Danio rerio: one gene and its partners. The protein of the gene in region 2 interacts with the protein of the main gene of each other region in a pairwise test. Links are inferred from orthologs where the notes say so. Each region holds a gene or a part of one and is shown on either strand. Other genes may lie near its edges. The genes, in order: tchp, cdr2a and enkd1.

What was found.
Region 1: the proteins of cdr2a (region 2) and tchp interact in binary tests that used the Homo sapiens proteins (3 or more experiments, as listed by UniProt). The two-hybrid records come from large-scale screens. The link is inferred for Danio rerio from reciprocal best matches to the Homo sapiens genes CDR2 and TCHP.
Region 3: the proteins of cdr2a (region 2) and enkd1 interact in binary tests that used the Homo sapiens proteins (3 or more experiments, as listed by UniProt). The two-hybrid records come from large-scale screens. The link is inferred for Danio rerio from reciprocal best matches to the Homo sapiens genes CDR2 and ENKD1.

The regions. Positions count from the first base shown.
Region 1 is NC_133180.1:20,592,713-20,599,877, reverse strand, and holds the start of tchp (trichoplein keratin filament-binding protein), read right to left. Parts: upstream 4,041-7,165; 5' UTR 3,819-4,040; coding exon 3,628-3,818; exon of another isoform or gene 3,503-3,627; intron 3,412-3,502; exon of another isoform or gene 3,263-3,411; intron 1,785-3,262; coding exon 1,574-1,784; intron 1,478-1,573; coding exon 1,421-1,477; intron 1-1,420. UniProt on the Homo sapiens protein: Tumor suppressor which has the ability to inhibit cell growth and be pro-apoptotic during cell stress. Inhibits cell growth in bladder and prostate cancer cells by a down-regulation of HSPB1 by inhibiting its phosphorylation.
Region 2 is NC_133178.1:62,631,771-62,638,135, reverse strand, and holds part of cdr2a (cerebellar degeneration-related protein 2), read left to right. Parts: intron 1-1,783; coding exon 1,784-2,021; intron 2,022-4,736; coding exon 4,737-5,282; 3' UTR 5,283-6,365.
Region 3 is NC_133183.1:3,679,979-3,686,035, forward strand, and holds the end of enkd1 (enkurin domain-containing protein 1), read left to right. Parts: intron 1-4,057; coding exon 4,058-4,218; downstream 4,219-6,057. UniProt on the Homo sapiens protein: Microtubule-binding protein which regulates microtubule organization and stability. Promotes the stability of astral microtubules and facilitates the proper orientation of the mitotic spindle.

The DNA of each region.
Region 1 (7,165 bases), on a different chromosome or scaffold from region 2:
CACGGAAGAAACTCATCACATGCTGTATTAGCTTACAACTTGCGTCTAACTACATTTTCATAAAAATCATGGCTTGATTCCTCTGTAGGAATGAATAATAAGAAACAATTATAATAATAATAATAATAATAATAATAATAAATTATATATAAAAAGTTACAAGTGAAAATAAACAAGCTATTCCTGTAGTTTGAGAGTTTAATAGCGCAAGTATAATGTTGACTTTTATGTGACACTATTATTCCAAAATTTATAGTACTCTATAATTTTTTAAGAATGGTTTTAAATAAATATATAATATATTATTATATTATTACATTTCATTTTATATTATCAACATTGAACATTATCGTGCTGTTTAATATTTTTATGGAAATTGATATGATGAGATTTTTTATTAAAAAAAGAATAGCATTTGCTTGACAAAAAACTTTTGTAACATAAATAATAATAATTATTATTAATTACTTTCATTTAAATAGAGCTTTTCGCTTTTCTGAGTACTCAAAACACTTTGCAAATTTTGGCGGGAATCTTCTCATCCACCACCAGGAGCCAGTGTGATGAAGCCCTGACAACAACGCTGTCTACCTTTACAGCTTAAAACGTGCTTTCGAGTGTAAAAATGTTGCACACTTTTTTATCAAATTTATTTACCTATGGAAGCCCATGTTGTTGTGTGTGTGGCTTAGCTCCACTTATCCAATAGGTGCCCATTTGTCTGAAATATTCTGAAGCAGCAATACTGTTCTGTACTGTCCTTATAGTTAGAGTGAGATTCACAATGTTTTTTAGAAAAAAGAAATTAAAAAATCCTCCTCGCTGCTTATAGTCGCAGTCTCTAATTAAAAATGAATGACTTCCGGCGACTTTGATGCTCTCGCGAATTTTGGTGTGAACGCAAACTGATATGGGGATGGTTAGTAAACCATGATGGACAGAAGCCATTGAGCAGATTTGGCCAGGACACGTTAATTTCAAAGGATTTTCATTGACCACAGAGAGTACCAGGACCTTGGTTTAACGTCTCATCCAAAAAAAAAGACGAGAAAAATGTCCCGTTCACTATACTGGGGCGTTAAGACCCCACACAGACAGCAGATTGAGCACCCCCAGCTGGACTCACTAACACCTCTTTCGGCAGCAACCTAGAGCTCCCATTTGTCTCACATCCAGGTACTGACCATGTGCAGCCCTGCTTTGCTTCAGATGGTGACTATATGAGAGCGGCAGAGCCAGCTGTACAAACTTTACTGGCGTTTTATTCAATTTAAAGCATACTTGCTTATTGACGTTATATATATTTTCCTTAATAAGAAAATGTTTCTTCACACTTTAAATACTCTTAATAACACCCATAACTAACATAGATGTCAAGTTTTGAGATATTCATTTATTTATATCTCAACGTATGACTGACCTTCCGCAGTTGTGAGTTGTTCTGCTTCCAGTGTTCCCTCAGCAGCTCCTGTGCAAGCTGAAGAAGATAAAACAAATCGACATATCAGATCAGATATGACATTCAATCAGATAACATAACAGGGCTTTATGACAGAACAATTAGTGTTCATACATTTTTCCTCCTCTCCTCCCTAGCAGAACGGAGGGCGTCTGTTTTTTCCACTAGCTGTCTGGCTAGCGTGTCTCTATCTGGATGAATATTTCTGAGCTCTGCCTCCAGCTGATCTCTCTCCTCCTGAAGCATCGTCCTCAGACGCTCCCTGCGCTCCTCTAGTTTCCGCTGCTTCTCCTCCCTCATGCGGTCCCGCTGAAATGCTGACATACTACAAGATCAAGAAAATAAGTTTTTTTTTAATTCACATAAATGTTTATTTGCAGTATGATGATGCAATTTATCCTCCTCCTTATAGGCATTAAGTATGCAGTGTTAAACTTTTGTATAGTTTTGTCAGATTTATGTTTTTTTTACCTCAAATCAAAGTGTGTAATGCTGTAATTCTCCTCATAGCTGTTTGGTTTAGTACTTGGTTTATAAAAATGTAACAACTACTTAAGAAAAATGTAAGGAAAGATACTTTCAGAACCAGTACTGCCAAAAAAACAGGAGTGAACTTTTACACACCATAAATTTTTTACTTTTCAGAAAGACATCTCAGCCTTGATAAAAGGTAAGAATATCATATTCAATAACGTGTCATATTTAACTATTTGAATAATTATTTTATTAAAGGGCTAGTTTAACCACAAATGAACATTTCCTCACCATTTGCTCAGCCTTAAGTGATTCTAAACTAAATTTCTTACTTTTGCAGAACTGTTGAACTGCTGTTTTCCAACATTCCTCAAAATATTTTACTTGTATTCAAACAAAAAAAAAGCATAAACAGGTTTGGAACAACTGGAAAATGAAAAAAATGACTTTGGGTGAACTATCCCTTTAAAGACCGCATGAACTGGAATCTGCGACCCTTTTTTCCCACTGTATTGTTACGCAGTTCCTAGAGAAAAAGAATATTAAATGAGAAAACAGTGGGTGTGGCTTGTTTTTTTGTACTGTGAGCTGATTGGATGTAGTATAGTAGGCATTTCACTCTGAAAGATTAGGAAAAGGGTTTGGGGAGAGTTATTGCAACCTAACAGATACCTCTTCCTCATCATTTCTGTTTGTTGTCAAAACTGACAGTTAGAGGGGGCATGGTTAAGTATTATAACCACACCCAATACCCAAGACGTTGTAATATGAGAATTTAACTGAAAACAAACAGGAAGTGCATTTTCAGACTTTTAAAAGGCAAACCATTTTTGCTTTTCTAAATGACATGCACAGAAGAATTGTTTACCACAAAACTGGCCATGTGATCTAAGAAAATTATAATGTTTAGTTTTGATTTCATTTTTTACTTTAAGTCCAAAAGAGTACAAAAGAGATTTTGAAGAATGTGGGACAAAACAGACTATTTTTTGGATGCCAATGGTTGCTGCTCTTCACTCTTCAATATCTTGCTTTGTGTTCAACAGAAGAAATAGATTCATAAAACTTTAGAAACACCAGAGTGTGAGTAAATGGTAATGAATTTTACATTTTGGGGTGAACTACCCCTTTAATGTATTTATTAGTAATGACAAGACATTATTTAGGCCAGATTCAAATTGAAAATACTGAGCATACATCTGCACATAGCATACAGTAATATTATTTTATTTTACATTGAATACAAAAACTAAACACAAAAGTCTCCACTGAAAACTACAGCATAGGCCAGGGATGTCCAAACTTGGTCCTGGATAGGGTGTCCTATGCAGGGTGTCAACACAGCTCTCTGGAAGTTTCTAGTTTACCTAGTTTGATCCGCTGGTTCAGGTGTGGATTGGGGTTGGAACTAAAATATGCAGGACACCGTCCCTCCAGGACCAAGTTTGGACACTCCTTGCATAGGCTACGCTGGTATGGTAAGTTTTGAAGCTGGTTTACGATGGTCTTGACCAGCAAAAACCAGCATTAAAACATACCTTACCAGCATATGCTGTTTTCTTTCAGCAGGATTATAACCCAAATCTGAACTAATGCTTTGGAAACTGGTGGAAAACTGTTGCTGTTGTTGGCTGAAGTGTCGGCAATAGTTTAAATAACACATTCAATGCATAAGCTACAGGAGGTATAAGCACCTGCGATGAAAGGACTGTCGTGAGCTCCACTGCGCCTGTTTACTGCTGCGGACATCCTGCTCCCTAAAGTACTGCGAGTGCTGCTCCCACTGTCGCCTCAGCCGCGCCTCCTGTTCCCGCTGCCGCACCAGCTGCTGCTCCAGAGTCCGCACCCGACTCGGCCAGTGTGCGGAGAGCGTCGGGAGAGCCATGGGTCTGAGGAGACCGAGTTTAACGTTACTTCTCACCGGAGATCTTGACTTGCGATCACTGGAGCAGTCATGGCAACATAATGCTGCAAATGAGGATTATTAACGTTATTGATCGCACTACAAAATAAGTCAGTAGATTTTAGAATCGACTTGCTAAGTGAGTTCTACATTCACGTTGATATTTGTACGTATTTTAACGAAACTGTAGTCAGAGGAAAGCGGTTAACGACGGCGGATGTGTAAACAAAACACCAAAAAAGAAGCGGTCCACTTGGTTACGCCTCTACTTCCTGGTTACCTACGGCGAGTGACGAGGTACAAGCAGGCAGGGGTTTATAGCTGGGGTATATTTCTACATTAATTTGTATCAGATAAATATAGCAATATCATCACATAAAAGTTTACAGTAGAAAACGTTTAAACCAATAAAAAAAACTAACAAATGAAGCAATAGATTAAATTAAGGCATGTTCAAAACATGGAGATGTCGCATAAGGGGAGTTCACCGAAATATTTACCTTAGTTTCTCAGATGGTTATAAACCGTTATGAGTTTCTTTCTTCTTTAAAAACAATCTTTTGTGTTCAACAGAAAGCTAAAAACCTGTAACCATTCACTTTCATTGTTGGAAAAACAAATAGGTATGTCTACTATGGATGTCAAGGTCCTGCAGGGGAAAAAAACCAGCTTAAAACAGCCTAAGTTGGTTCGCTGGTTTTAGCTGGTCGACCCGCTTGATTTTAGACAGGTTTCAGTTATTTCCAGCCTGGTCTTAGCTGGAAAGGCTGGGAGGTGACCAGCTAAAACCAGCTTGACCAGCCAAAACCAGCTGTCCAGCTTAAACCAGGCTGCTCAAGCTGGTTTTAGCTGGTCATTTTCTTAGCAGCCTGACCAGCTCAGATCAGGCTGGAAATAACTGGAAACCAGCCTGGAAAGGGCCAAAACCCCTTTAAAACCAGGCTAGTCGACCAGCTAAAACCAGCCAACCAGCCTTGCCCGGTTTAAGGTTTTTTTTTCAGTAGGGTGGTTACAGGTTTCCAGCTCTTTCCAGAAGAAATAGGCATACAATCAAACTGGTTTGACACAAGAGAATTAAGTGAGTGAAAATAATGACATAATTTTATTTATGGGGTGAACTGTCCTTAACTTTAAAGGGACTAAGCCAAGAAAATGAATGAATGAATTCTTAACTTTGCAGGGAAAAATTCATCTCTAGTTTTTGGGGTTATTCATGGTCTGACAAAAGTAATTAATTCTGAATTTGAATTTTAATATTCAGTGGTTGAACTGTGAGGGAAATAATGGTACATCATTATACCTAGTTAAAAAAAAGAAACATGTTACTGATTCTTTACAGTTTATTGGTTGAACCCATATTCACTAATAACAGTGTAATAGGGCTATTATATATTGTATAACATTGAATGAGAAATACCACATCTACATGTTCCATGGTGTCATTATCACCTCACATATTTACTCCTGTGGCCCCATAGGATAGTAAAGTCCATTGAATTCACTTAATTTGCTTAATTATACATTTTTGTCCAATAAAAAGTATATATAGTACAAATGTGAGAATCATGAATATAATCTTTATGTACTACATTCGCCATGTTGTCATTTTATAAGCATCAGTTTTGCATATCGCACACACCTGCAAGTACAAAGTCTGATAAATATCTTTAAAATGTATGCTGTAGTAACATTCAAAATGATATACACCTTATATTATCATATTATCAGCAATGTCCAAATGGAAATGTCCAATACATGTATTGCAGATGAGAAAACGCACTGATAAATATCTAAAAGATGTAAAGACAAACATCAAATAGACGTCTCCAAGATTGAATGAGCGTTATCAGTGGTTATCAGCAGATAGATATGTTATATGATAGATATGCGCCTACTAGTAGGCTCATAAGGCTGTTATCATTAATCCAAATTGTAAATCAGCTATAAATTATATACAGCTATGGCTGTAAATGAACGAGAATTATTTCGATTATTATTTTTTTTTCCATTAATTGTAGTTTAGTAACGTTTACCCCTACCCCAACCCTAAACCCAGCCATCACAGTACTGTAAAAGCAGATGTGGATCTGAAGTCATCTTTATCAGTATAACCGATTAACCATGATAATTATATTAAATATTACATTTTCCATTAATTGTATTTTATTAACGTCTACCCCAACCCTAAACCCAACCGCCACTAATATAAAAACAGATTTGGGTGTGGAGTCTTCTTTGTTAGTATAGCTAATTAACCATGTGGATGTATGATAACAGCCTTCTGAGACTAACAGGAAGTTGCAGAAGGCCCTTACTGACCCATATCTATCAGCCGATAACCACTCATAATGCCCATTCAATCGAGTGATAACATTTGAATCGGGTATCTCTCTGGGGTGCTTTAATACCGTTCACAAATCCTCTCTTGTGGCCTCGTGTGATAGTAAAGTGTCCATTGAATGCCCACTTCATAATCTCACTAAAAGAAATAGGACAGATCGTTCCTTTTTATAGTACTAGCAAATGCTCTGAGAAAATTACTGAAGTAGCAACAGTGAAAGTAATGAAAATTCAAACTTGCTCATCGTCACTTTAAAGAAATGACTATTAATATTTAAGAAGTTTACAACCTTGGATGCAGTCTTAGTCTTTACACAATAAGCATGTAAGAGTGATTGATTTGTGTATTTTACAGTTATTATTGCATGAATTGTGGCCAACCCCATTACATTAATGGACATTTAATCTTATAAACAACTTTTAACTCTGCTAGGATGATTAAAGAGCCCATATTATACATGAAATAGGGTCATATCCTGGTTGTAAGAGTCTCCAACAACAGTCTAATATGCATGCAAGGTCAAAAAACACTTTCATGGTCTTATAATCTGCATTTATTTTTACCTAATTATCCCAGCGACTCCTGTATGAATCGTCCAGTGATTCATTTGTTCCCAAACCCCTCCTTAGCGCGGAGCTAATCTGCGCTGATTGGACCGATGACAGTCTGTCGCGATTGGTCGACTGCCTTCAGTCAGAGAGGGAAATGGCCAATAGCTAATCAGCAATTTAAAAAGTAATCACAGTTCATACACGCTCGATAGTGTATGCGTGGATTTTAGCTGCCACACTATGGCGAGTGGATAGTGCTACGGATAACCGAACGAAGGAGACAGTCGTGTACTCGCCATACCACACACACACAAAAACACACACACACCTCCGGATGACAACGCTCCCGCTTCCGCCCGCACCCGCCAGGTTTTAGCCTGAGAACCCGCTCCGTTTTCTGCCCGCCGCGCCCGGTCCCGCTAGAGCGGAGAACACAA
Region 2 (6,365 bases):
CACTGAAAATGTGTTTGTTTTGGTCATCTTCAATCAAAATCTGATCATTTGCTTCCGTGTTTGGGGTTGAGATCCTTCTATTGATGTCAACCTGAGGGTTTCCATAGCAACTGCAAATGAATACCCTCACACCGTTAGTTTGCTATAAGGGAATGATGTGCAAAAGAAAGCCCCGCCCCCTACTCAATATTCCATTTCCGTTGGAAGCACATCAACATGCTGAAATATAAGTTTCATCAACTTTGGGTTCACATGGACTTTAAACACTTATTTGTTTTACTTCTGGAATCTCAAAATGAATGTCTTTTGTGTATTCTACTTTATAATTTTGATGCCTAACATAAAAATGAAGTGCATCACCATAACATGAGTATAGTTTCAGTTTTCCAAGGTGGAGTTTATGTTCTTTTTCAAGCCTTAGAAGCCAGACCTGGGAATCAAATGGTTTATTTCTGTGTTGTTTGCACTGTAAGGCTTGTGAAGAATGTCAACTCCACCTTGGAATGCTCCACTTTAAGTAACCGTTACTTTGAAAAGCTGCTTTGCTCTTGAATGCGTTCTCAAACAGTGTGACCTAAATAGCTCCATACAAATAAACTCCATAATGAAAATGAATACTTTATTTTATAGTCCTCCCCCTCTTATTATTTATATATATATATATATATATATATATATATATATATATATACTTTTTTTGTTTTTGTTTTTTGATACATGCATATATCTCTGTGGGCCTAAATATAAATATAATATAAATATTCATTATATATATATATATATATATATATATATATATATATATATATATATATATATATATATATATATATATATATATATATATATGGGAAAAGTCAGTTTTAGTAAACAAAGTCTGTTATTATGATATTTGTTGTTTAACACTTTAAACTACAGTTTAATTGAATAAATATACAACTTACAATTGACAATATACTTTAGATTTTTTTCTTCTCAAATTTAATTTGATTCCTGTTAAAAGGAAAAATGTGTCCTTAAGGCTTAGTTTATTATTATTATTACTATTATTATTATTATTACTATTATTATTATTAATGATGATATTATTAATATTATTAATGATATTATTATTATTATTATTATTATTATTATTATATTATATTATTTTCTATTATTACTTATATAATTATTATTAATAATTATATTATAATAATTATTATTATGATTATTAATATTATTACTGATATTATTAGTATTATTATTAATCATATTATTATTATTTTTATAATTAAGTATATTGTTGTTGTTGTTGTTGTTGCTGTTGTTATTATTAATTATATTATTATTGTTAATATTAATATTTGTAGTAGTAGTAGTAGTAGTAGTAGTAGTAGTAGTATCATTATTGTTTATATTATTAAAATTAATTTTTATTATTATTATTATTATTATTATTATTATTAATTATATTATTATTATTATTATTATTATTATTGATATTATTAATTGTATTATTATTGATATTAATATTATTATGATTATAATAATTATTATTATTAATAGTATTATTGGTAATATTATTATTATTATAAAAAAAAAATAATTTGGTTGTGATTTTTGATGTTTGATTGTATTTTTTAATACTCTTGCATGTACATTATGAATGTATGAATTTAAAAACATCGTACCTTAACTTTACATTCATAACACTTGTTTTATGATGTGTTTATGATGTCTCCAGTCAGTGAACTAGTTCTGCTACATTGAATATTTCCCTCATGAAATGCCTGTTGTCCTGCAGGAGCTGGACCTCAGAGGGTCTGCATGAGGAGCGGTCGTGGCCTGTGCTTAGTGAGCGGTGTGTAGAGGAGGAAGAGGAGACCTCTACCCTTCAGCACAGCCTCCACAAGCTGAAGCAGCAGCTGGCGACGGAGCGAGCCCGACGGGTGGAGGCAGAGCGAGAGACTGAGCTGACTGTTCTGGAGAACAGTGCTCTGGAGGACCGCCTGAGCCTGCTGGAGGGAGCCCGCCGCAGACAGGTACAGCCTCCACCCGTTAGCGCATTAGCTTGGGCAACCTAAAAATATGTCTTTTTTTTTTTCGATTCGGACGTTTAGAAATGAAACTTAAGAGACAGATGATGTTTAATTTTACTGGTGATTCCAAATATGTAATGAGATCTTAAGCTTTGATGAATTTGATGTTTCTCCGCTCAGACAGAATGCCTGAGCATACTGCCCGAGAGGCGTTTCAAAGATGGCCGCCGAGTGAAATGGCTTCCCTTAAAAGAGACTTTGGTTGTTATTAGTGCTGCCAATCGATTAAAAAAAATTAACTAATTAATCGCACCTTTTTAAAAAAATTCATCGCGATTAATCGCATTTAAAATACTGAAACTTGTAATTTTGGCTATTCAAATGTAAAATTAATGTAAACGCAAGACAAAAACTATTTAAATTTAAAATATAATTGTTTATTAGAATTAAAATTCAAAATATAATTGTTTATTAGAATTTTTGTTTAACTTGTAACACAGATTTCTTCACGTAAACAACATACCCACAATAAACCATCAAGATCCTGGCTTGACAGGATCCCTCCTACCTCTTCAGGTAGCCTATGTCGCACCACTCACCCCCACCGTCCTTCAGGTACGTCTCGAGCGCACACGCCCCTACTCAGATATGTCGCTCACTCCACCCCTGACACCCTTCAACCGGCCTGACACAGACACACACACAACGCGCTGCAGACGTTTTGGCCCCAACGGCCTTCCATACTGGAGCGACTCCCCTCAGATTCAACACGCATGATCACGTTCATCAAATTTGCCTAAACTAAGCGTCCTAAAGTATTACTGTATTTCACAAGGATTCTGACACAACATCGTGAAGCATACGCTTTTGTTGCGTTTAATGAGGAAACATGCTAAACTTGGAGGGTTCATGCTGAAAGGCAGAGTAATGCCCTGTCTTTGACAGCTCGCGACTTCATCAGAGACTTTCTGAGTACATTCGCATAAGACACCAATACTCCGATTTTAATATGATTAAGATAATACTCTTATTAAAATTCTACCGTGTAGCCTAAGCAGTGATTTTATTACCTTAAAGCAACACCGAGTCACGAAATGCGGAGGATTTTCTTTCTGTTCGCCATGCGGTATCAACTTACAACAGATGTCGAAAGTTAAAAATGAAACACCCGAAATTGCATGAAACTCTGGAGAGCCTGGTTATGCGACTAATTGTTTTATACTGAAACTTGCCTTCAAAAAGTGGTTCCTTGGTCTTATCCACATTTCTTGCATGTTGAACACACGTCCACCACAACAGGAAGTAAAAAAAACCTGCAACTGCGTAAATTTATTTTAACCCGTTAATTCAGGGGTGTCCAAACTTTTTGGGCCGAGGGCCAGAAGCAAAAAAAAAAAAAAGTTATTCCCGGGCCATATATTAAATACATTACACAGACACGTGCATATATATATATATATATATATATATATATATATATATATATATATATATATATATATATATATATATATATATATATATATATATATATATATATATGTGTGTGTGTGTGTGTGTGTGTGTGTGTGTGTGTGTGTGTGAATATGTATATGTGTATATATGTATGTATGTATGTATGTAGCCTGTGTGTGTGTGTGTTATAGAATTATTTTAATTTGTTATTTTAATTCATCGTCCAACTGTGTTTCTAGAAAGACTTTCGTTTTTAAAATCTTGAATCTTCTCTGGGCAAATTACACTTGCAACACTCCTCCCTTATAAATTCTCCTTCAGTGAAAGGTTTCCTGTGCTGTGCGATTAGCTGGGCTACATCATAACTAGCCAGCGTAGAATTTTCTTGCACTTTATTAGCACGAAAAAAAACTGCTGTTGTTGAGCTGATAAGCCAGCTGCTATTTGTTTTACTTTTTGATCTCGTTCGGCACCAGTGTAAGAGCTGAAAGCCTGATGATTTATTTTATAATGTCTTTTAATATTATATTCCTTCATTACTGTAACTGATTCCTGGCAAATTAAACAGACACATTTCCCGCTGACCTCTGTGAAGAAATATTCTTTGCCCCATCCTGACTGAAATTTCCTGCACTCACTGTTGATTTTCCTTGTTCTTGCTTGTGCCATGGCTCGCCTAAACCTGATTATGAATTATGTTTCTTTCAGTTTGTTGTTCGGTCCGTTTTACTTCATAACAGGAACTGCTGCCTAATTGAAGGCATGTAATAGCGACACCCGGTGGTTATTTATTGAATTACACACATTTTTGTATAGTGGGCCAGTTTCTATAAAATATTCATAAAAAGCCTTGCGGGCCGCCACAAAACTGATCGCGGGCCGCAGATGGCCCGCGGGCCGTAGTTTGGACACCCCTGCGTTAATTATTTAAAATTAATCGCATGCGTTAGCGCACTAATTTTGACAGCGCTAGTTGTTATATAACATTCCGCCCAATAAAACAAGCTATCATCCATACTTGCATGATACATGCTGCCTTTGTTTGCACTCAGTGATGTTGAATTTGAAATGAAATGAAACAAAAACATGTGGTTGTTGCATAGGCTAATGATGTTTTCTGCAAATGACCAAAGTATTTTTATGAGCTGAAAGGCAGAATGCGAGTGTTTTCATCAAGCTCGACATTATATAACAGTTTCAGGTTGGGTTTTAGTGTTTGTAACATGTGACACACATTGTGACATGCGGTTTCACTTTTGACAGGCGGAGCTGGAGGCCGAGGTGGAGGAGCTGCGTCTGCTGTGGCGCTCCGAGTCTTCCAGCTCCAGACTGACCGACACGCTGCTGCCTGACAGTGTTTTCTTCAGTGCAGAGGAGCGGCTGGGGGTGGAGCCTGAATGTGAGGAGGAGGCGGAGTTTCCTCAGGGGCGCTGCCGCTGCAGCAGTGATAGTTACGTCAGAGGAGCTCGAGCGGAGGAGATCCGGCGTGGACACGAGCGCTCCTGCATTCGCAGAGCTCAGGCCGTCAAGCAGCGCGGCATCTCTCTGCTCAATGAGGTGGACGCTCAGTACAGCGCCCTGCAGCTCAAATACGAGGAGCTGCTGCGCCGCTGCCAGCACGGGGCCAACAGCCTCAGCCATAAAGCCGTCCAGACGCCCAAATCCCAGAGCTGCTCCGCCACAGACACCGCCTGCCTCTCCGACCAGCTCCATCAGCCCGAGTACAAAGCCCTGTTCAAAGAGATCTTCACCTGCATTCAGAAGACCAAAGAGGACCTGAGTGAGAACAGGGCTTTGCAGGCCCAGTAAGGTGTGGCTGTTTTAAAGGGGGAGTTCACCCAAAATTCTGATGAAATTCTGTCACCATTTACTCATCATTTGCTTGTTGCAAAACGGTTTGGGTTTCTTTCCTCTGTTGAACACTAAGGAAGATGAACTGAAGAGTGCTGAACAGAAAAGAGGATATCTTGAAGAATGCTGGGAAAACATCCATTGACATCCATAGTATTTGTTTGTTCCTACTATGGATGCCAATGGCTGCTTTTTCCCAACATTTTTCTTGTTTTGCGTTCAACAGAAGAAGCACTTGAGTAAATTATGAGTAAATGGTCATTGTTTTTGGGTGATCTGTCCCTTTAAGTTGAGTGTAGTGACTTTGCACTTGCTAATGTGATTTAACAGTGTGTTTGTGTGTGTGTCTATTGCACTATAACAGCTGTGCCTATACACAGTATACAACACCAAACCGTCCACATCCAGAACCTGAATGGTCTGAATGGGGTTTTTCTACTTTTATACGTCTTACTCTAATGAACGACACACACAAGCTGTGTGAATCAGCCATACCAGACGCCTGAGATACATCAGGTTTGGAGGAAGACTATTGTTATTAGTACTAACAACTACATAACACAGTTATGGAACTAACTTGATGTACATGATATACCATAATATTGGTGAACCTCACACAAGCTGCTAAAATGAGGTTTTACATCGAAAAATACAACAAAAACAACAAAAAAGCAATTGACATTGTAAATTTGAGCCAGTTTTTTAGGAAAATTTAACGTTTTTGTTGTTGTGTTTGAAATTACACGTTATCTTCATGACGAATGCCCCTAGTGCTGTGGCAATCATTTGGAGGAATGGATTTTACGATTGCGAAGTGCATTTCTATTCTATCTTGAATCGGCTCTGAGCTTAGTTTTCAACAGCAGATGGCACTCTAGGCTAGTATTTAGCAGCAGACAGGCTAGCTATAGCAACACACGGCATTCTGGACTAATTTTGAAAAGCCTAGAGCACCCTCTAATGTTAAAAATTAGCCTACATTTCCCATCTATTGTTAAAAACTAGCCTAAATCGCTGTCTAATTTTACAAACTAGCCTATC
Region 3 (6,057 bases), on a different chromosome or scaffold from region 2:
AGCTCCAAGTTCATTTAACACACCTTCCTGGACGTTTTTGTATACCTAAAGAGCTTGATTAGCTGGTTCAGGTGTGTTTAATTGGGGTTGGAACTAAAATATGCTGGACAGCGGCCTTACAGGACCGGGTTTGGGCACGCCTGACATATTGATTGTGAATTAGGAGGATGCCATCATGTTTCATAAGTCTTATAAATCATACAGAATGATGTGTGTGCATGAATGGATATCTGGCCGTCAAGTCAGATGAGATGTGTGTGTGTTTGAGTTTGTGTGTGTGTGTGTGTGTGTGTGTGTTTTGTCTGCAAATGCATGTGTGAGGGACTGTGTGGTTTTGTGTGTGTGTGTTTGTGTTTTTGTTTAAGTGTGTGTGCATATGTTTTTGTGTGCGTGCATATTTGAGTGACTGTGAATCAGTGAATCTTCTGTGTTTTTGTGTTTACGCGTACGTGACTGTGTTTTTGTGTGACTGTGTGGTCCTGGTATTCATCACATGAAGACTAAATATCTTTTCAACAGGGGGGTTCGAGTGTTTCGAACGAACCACCCCCCCACGACCAAAAGGTCTAGAATTTGTCCTTTGAATTATTTTATATATTATACAGTTGAAGTCAGAATTATTAGCCCCCTTTAAAAATTTTTTCTTCTTTTTTAAATATTTTGCAAATGATGTATAACAGAGCAAGGAAATTTTCACAGTATGTCTGATAATATTTTTCCTTCTGGAGAAAGTCTTATTTGTTTTATTTCGGCTAGAATAAAAGTAGTTATTAATTTTTTAAACACCATTTTAGGGACAAAATTATGAGCCCCTTTAAGCTATATTTTTTCTCGATATTCTACAAAACAAACCATCATTATACAATAACTTGCCTAATTACCCTAACCTGCCTAGTTACCCTAATTAACCCAGTGAAGCCTTTAAATGTCACTTTAAGCTGTATAGAAGTGTCTTGAAAAATATCTAGTCAAATATTATTTACTGTCATCATGGTAAAGTTAAAATAAATCAGTTATTAGAAATGAGTTATTAAAACTATTATGTTTAGAAATGTGTTGAAAAAATGTTCTCTCTGTTAAACAGAAATTGAGGAAAAAATAAACGCCCTAATATTTCAGGGGGGCTAATAATTCTGACTTCAACTGTATATATAATTACACACACATATATATATACATACATACATACATATATAAAATAATTACTGTAATATATTTTTATTCAATATAGGTAATAAAGTGTAATTTTTAATAACTCTGGCCAGTAATTTGAATCCCATAGAGCCTCAAAGCCTCAATAATGTGACGCGAGTCTAGTGACATAACCCACTGAGTAGTAACGTGAATCTTTGATGCGACATCCATACTAAGTAAGGAAATAGGTTGAAAAGAGCAAGAGAGGCAGAAAAGGCAGGCAGCTGTGTCATTATAGCAAAATATTGAACATATGTTCAAAAAGACTGCCAAACAGGGTAAGGCTAAAGTTACTTACTCCCTCACAGATGAAAATCTGTCCCTATCTGTGAGGTTCTAGGCTAACTGGCCGCATTAGCTGGGAAGTCCTGTTTATTTATTGACTTGTCCAGTACATGACCTCCCTTTGCTTATTTTTTTCAAATAACTGTCCTACGAAGGCTTTAATAGCCAGCGGAGTCCTCAGCTGTCAGATGTCACTTCACAGCAAAAGGCGCTAATCCCATCACGTCTGTGTTTTTGAGGCTGTTTGGTCACTTCATTCGTTTTATTCTGATCGGATATAAATCCGATCGCTCAAACCACTTCAGAAGGTGATCTGGGATGCATTCCAGATGAAATTGGACAGGTTTTTAGACAAAATTAATATAAATAAAACTAATTATGACCTGGAGATAATCTGACCTGCGCCTGAAACACCTGTGGGTGCGCTTTTACAGCCAAAATTCTATTAAAATATGTTTACTGTAAGCATTAAACGTGTTCTAACATTTCAGGCCTGTAGCCAGGGGGGGGGTTCGGAAGACCCACCCCACACTGACAAAGGTCCAGAATTTGTCCCATATATGAGCTCATTTGTCCTATTCTGACTGCTATGCCATCATAAATAATGAAAATAATCCATCAAAAAAGGCTTTAAGACCAAACGTAATCCTCTGATAGCTGTTGCTTCGACTCTAATCTGATGTAAGAGAAGTCTTCTTTCACTACTGTATCGTTTTTAAACAGAGAAAACATTTTACAGCCAACTTTATTTTAAATCTTGGACCTTATTTCTGAAATAATAATGAGCAATAAAAAGGCGTGAAGCACCAGAAGCGGACCATAATAAATTAATTTGAATATATTTTGCCTGTTGTTGACATCCAGGAATTTTCAAATGTACTTTTTTTTTTTTTTACCGAAGAGGCTAGAAAAATTCAGAAGAATTTATTATTATTGTTTTTATTATTATTATTATGTTTTAATTATAATTTTTTATTGAAATGGCCAAATTGTGACTGAGGACAGTTGAATGTGCTGACAAGTTTGTTTTTTGTCTAATAAATGACAGTAGGCTACAGTTTTTTTACTTTAAAACTTTAACAGATTGCAAGCTATTTAATCTTTCTCGCCTGAAAGCCAAAACAAAGGTACGCGAGACGCTGATCAGAGACATGCTTTTTGCTGACGATGCTGCAGTCACCACACACACCCAGGAAGAACTACAGTTGCTGATGAGCCGCTTTTCCATGGCCTGCAAAGACTTTGGGCTGACCATCAGTTTGAAAAAAACAAATGTCTTGAGCCAGGACACTGCCACTCCACCAGCCATCACAGTAGATGATTACCAGCTTGATGTCGTCCACCAGTTCACGTACTTGGGCTCCACCATCACCGATAACCTCTCCCTGGATGCTGAGCTTGACAGGAGGATCGGGAAGGCAGCCTCTACTCTAGCCCGCCTGACAACCCGAGTGTGGACAAACCATAGGCTGACAACTGCAACAAAGATGGCAGTGTACAACACTTGCGTCATCAGCACTCTGCTGTATGGGAGTGAGACATGGACCACCTATGCAAGACAGGAGAGGAGACTGAACACCTTCCACCTAAGAGGTCTGCGTCGCATTCTGGGCATTACCTGGCAGGACAAAGTCTCCAATGTCAAAGTCTTGACTCGAGCCGGCCTTCCCAGCATGGATACCATGCTCCGACAACGTCGCCTGCGCTGGCTTGGTCATGTGCGCCGTATGGAGGATGGGAGAATTCCAAAGGATATCCTTTACGGAGAACTCTCATCTGGGAAGAGAACCACAGGACGCCCATTTCTGAGATTTAAAGATGTCGTGAAGAGGGACATGAAGGCCCTTGACATAAACACCAAGTCCTGGGAAGACCTCGCAGCAGACCGCCTGAAATGGAGGTGCACCCTGACCAAACAGCTCAAGTCAGGTGAGAAGAACATTATGCGTGCGTCAGAGGACAAGCGAGTTCACCGAAAGGTGCAGAGCGTCAGCCAGGGAGCCACCTATCAATGCGACTGCTGCGGTAAAGAATGCCTCTCCCGTATTGGTCTCTTCAGCCACCAACGACGCTGTCTCAGACAATCAGTCATGCCTTAAGATAAGAGCTAGGATACGTCATCCATGTTCAACACTGACCGACGGAGGCCTACTAAGATGAGATCTGACTAGCTAATCCAGCAAAAATGTCACCAAAATGCAGTATTTAAATCTCATTGTTAAATAGAAACTGAGGCGTGTAACTGCAAAAAGGTCCACTTTTTGAGAAAAACAGAACCACCTCTTTCACCAGGCTGGCTACAGGCCTGTCCAAGTATAGCATTAGCAGTAATTTTTTACCTTGTGGGGACAACTTTGTGGTCTAATGGGGAAAAACAGCTCATAAATTAGACAGAACAAAGTATTTTGACATTGTATTTTGACATGACTGTTTTCAGTGGGGGTTGGGTTGGGTATGGGGAGTGAAATATACAGTAAAGAGCCCAAAACATGAAAGCCCAACTTTTGTGTGTGTGTGTGTGTGTGTGTGTGTGTGTGTGTGTGTGTGTGTGTGTGTGTGTGTGTGTGTGTGTGTGTAGCTCACAGGTCTCTGGTCAGTGAACTGCTGTCTCTCCCAGTGAAAGCGGACACTCTGAGCATTCGTTCTAGACGGGCTGATCTGGACCAGCGTCTCTCTGAGGTGGAGGAGGCCATCAAGATCTTCTCACGGGACAAAGTCTATGTGAAAGTGGACTCTTAAACTGCTCTGAGATCAGACCGTTTCTACTGCGCTTATATGAGTTTCATGAGTTCCCTGCATTTCAGTGCTGGATGCTTTAGTTGATTTATTTCTTACTAATGATATTCTGTATTTATGCGTGCTTTGGTAAATCATCATTGTTAAAAGTTCCAGTTAGGATGTGAAAAGTAGTGCTGGCCAAAAATGAATCACGATTAATAGCACCTAAAATAAAAGTTTGTTTTGACATCATTTAAGTGGGTGTACTGTTTATATTTATTACGTATATATAAATACACACATGCATGAATATATTTGAAAAAAGTTTATGCATATATAGATATAAAATAAATATGTCTATGATACTATTTATATATACATTAATATATCAATGTAGCAAAGCTGTTTTGTATAGTTTTGTTATTAATATTATTTATCTTGAATGTGATTAATCGCAATTAATCTTTGACCAGCACTATTAAATGTCGAAAATTATGACATGTGAAAACTATGAATATTAAAATTCTAAATTATGAGACAAAAATTGACATTTGGATGTTAATTAGATGCTAAATGAAAGATTAAAAATAAGAATAAAATCCTAAATTAAAGTTATAATGACATAAATAATTAAGATTATTAGATTTATTACCTTTTTTTTTTTTTTTTACTTTTTTCATCAGTTATGACATAGTGGTATGGTATAACATGCTAAAAATATGATATACTACATTATAATTATCACAAGTCAAAAATTTGAAGAAAAACACAATTTGAAAATTAAATAAAATGTATTATTATATCTATGAGATAAAATTTTTAATGACAAGAGTTTTTTTTATCATTATGACTTATTATTTCATAAATTTTGAAAGAAAATATCAAAATTGTGACACACTCAGACAGTTATGAGAGTAGTTATTAGAATTTTGTTTACAATCACATTAATAGCAAAAAAATGTGAATTATTAAAGTACAATTATGACATACTAAATCATAATTCTGAAAGAAATATGACAATATTAATTTGTCATAATAGTGACTTAGTTTGACATGGAGTCTTAATTATGACAGTATTATTTTAAATGTAAGATAGTATATAGTTATGACATAAATCATAAAAAGTCATGAGAATTTAAATTATTATTAATTAAAATGTTCCTATTTTGTCGTAATTCTGGACTTCTTTTGTCATTAAATGTCATAATTTAACATTTACGTCATTATTTTCTAATTCATGATGTAGATATCCTCAATTTTGTTAAGAATAAAATTTCTCTGATATCATTTTTAACATTTTATTCAATAATTGTGCATTTTATGTCATAGTTATGATTTACCAAAGTATGTTTTCATCTAATGTGACAGAAATCGGTTTTCATGGTGGATTTTCTTCATGATAGTTCATAATTCTCTGTAAATGAGGGTGTTTTTACTTGCAGATTGTGTGATCAAAGTATTCCTGCTGCCATGTACAGTTACAGTTATTAAATGTCTATTATGGCAAGGTGCTATCCTTCATGCATAATGTCAGTCAAATACATTTTGATAGAGCAGTCTTTACATGGCAGTGGTGCTTGTTTTCATTCATTCATTTTATTTGGCTCAGTCCCTTTGATTCATCAAGGATTCTCACAGTGGAATGAACCGCCAACTATTCCAGCATATGTTTTACACAGCGGATGCCCTTCCAGCTGCAACCCAGTACTTGGAAGCACCCATACACACTCATTCCTCATTCACACACACACTACGGCCAATTTAGTCCCTCAATTTCCCTACAGCGCATGTGCTTGGACTGTAGGGGAAATCGACGCACCTGGAGAAAAGCTCACGCCAACATAAGAAGAACATGCAAAC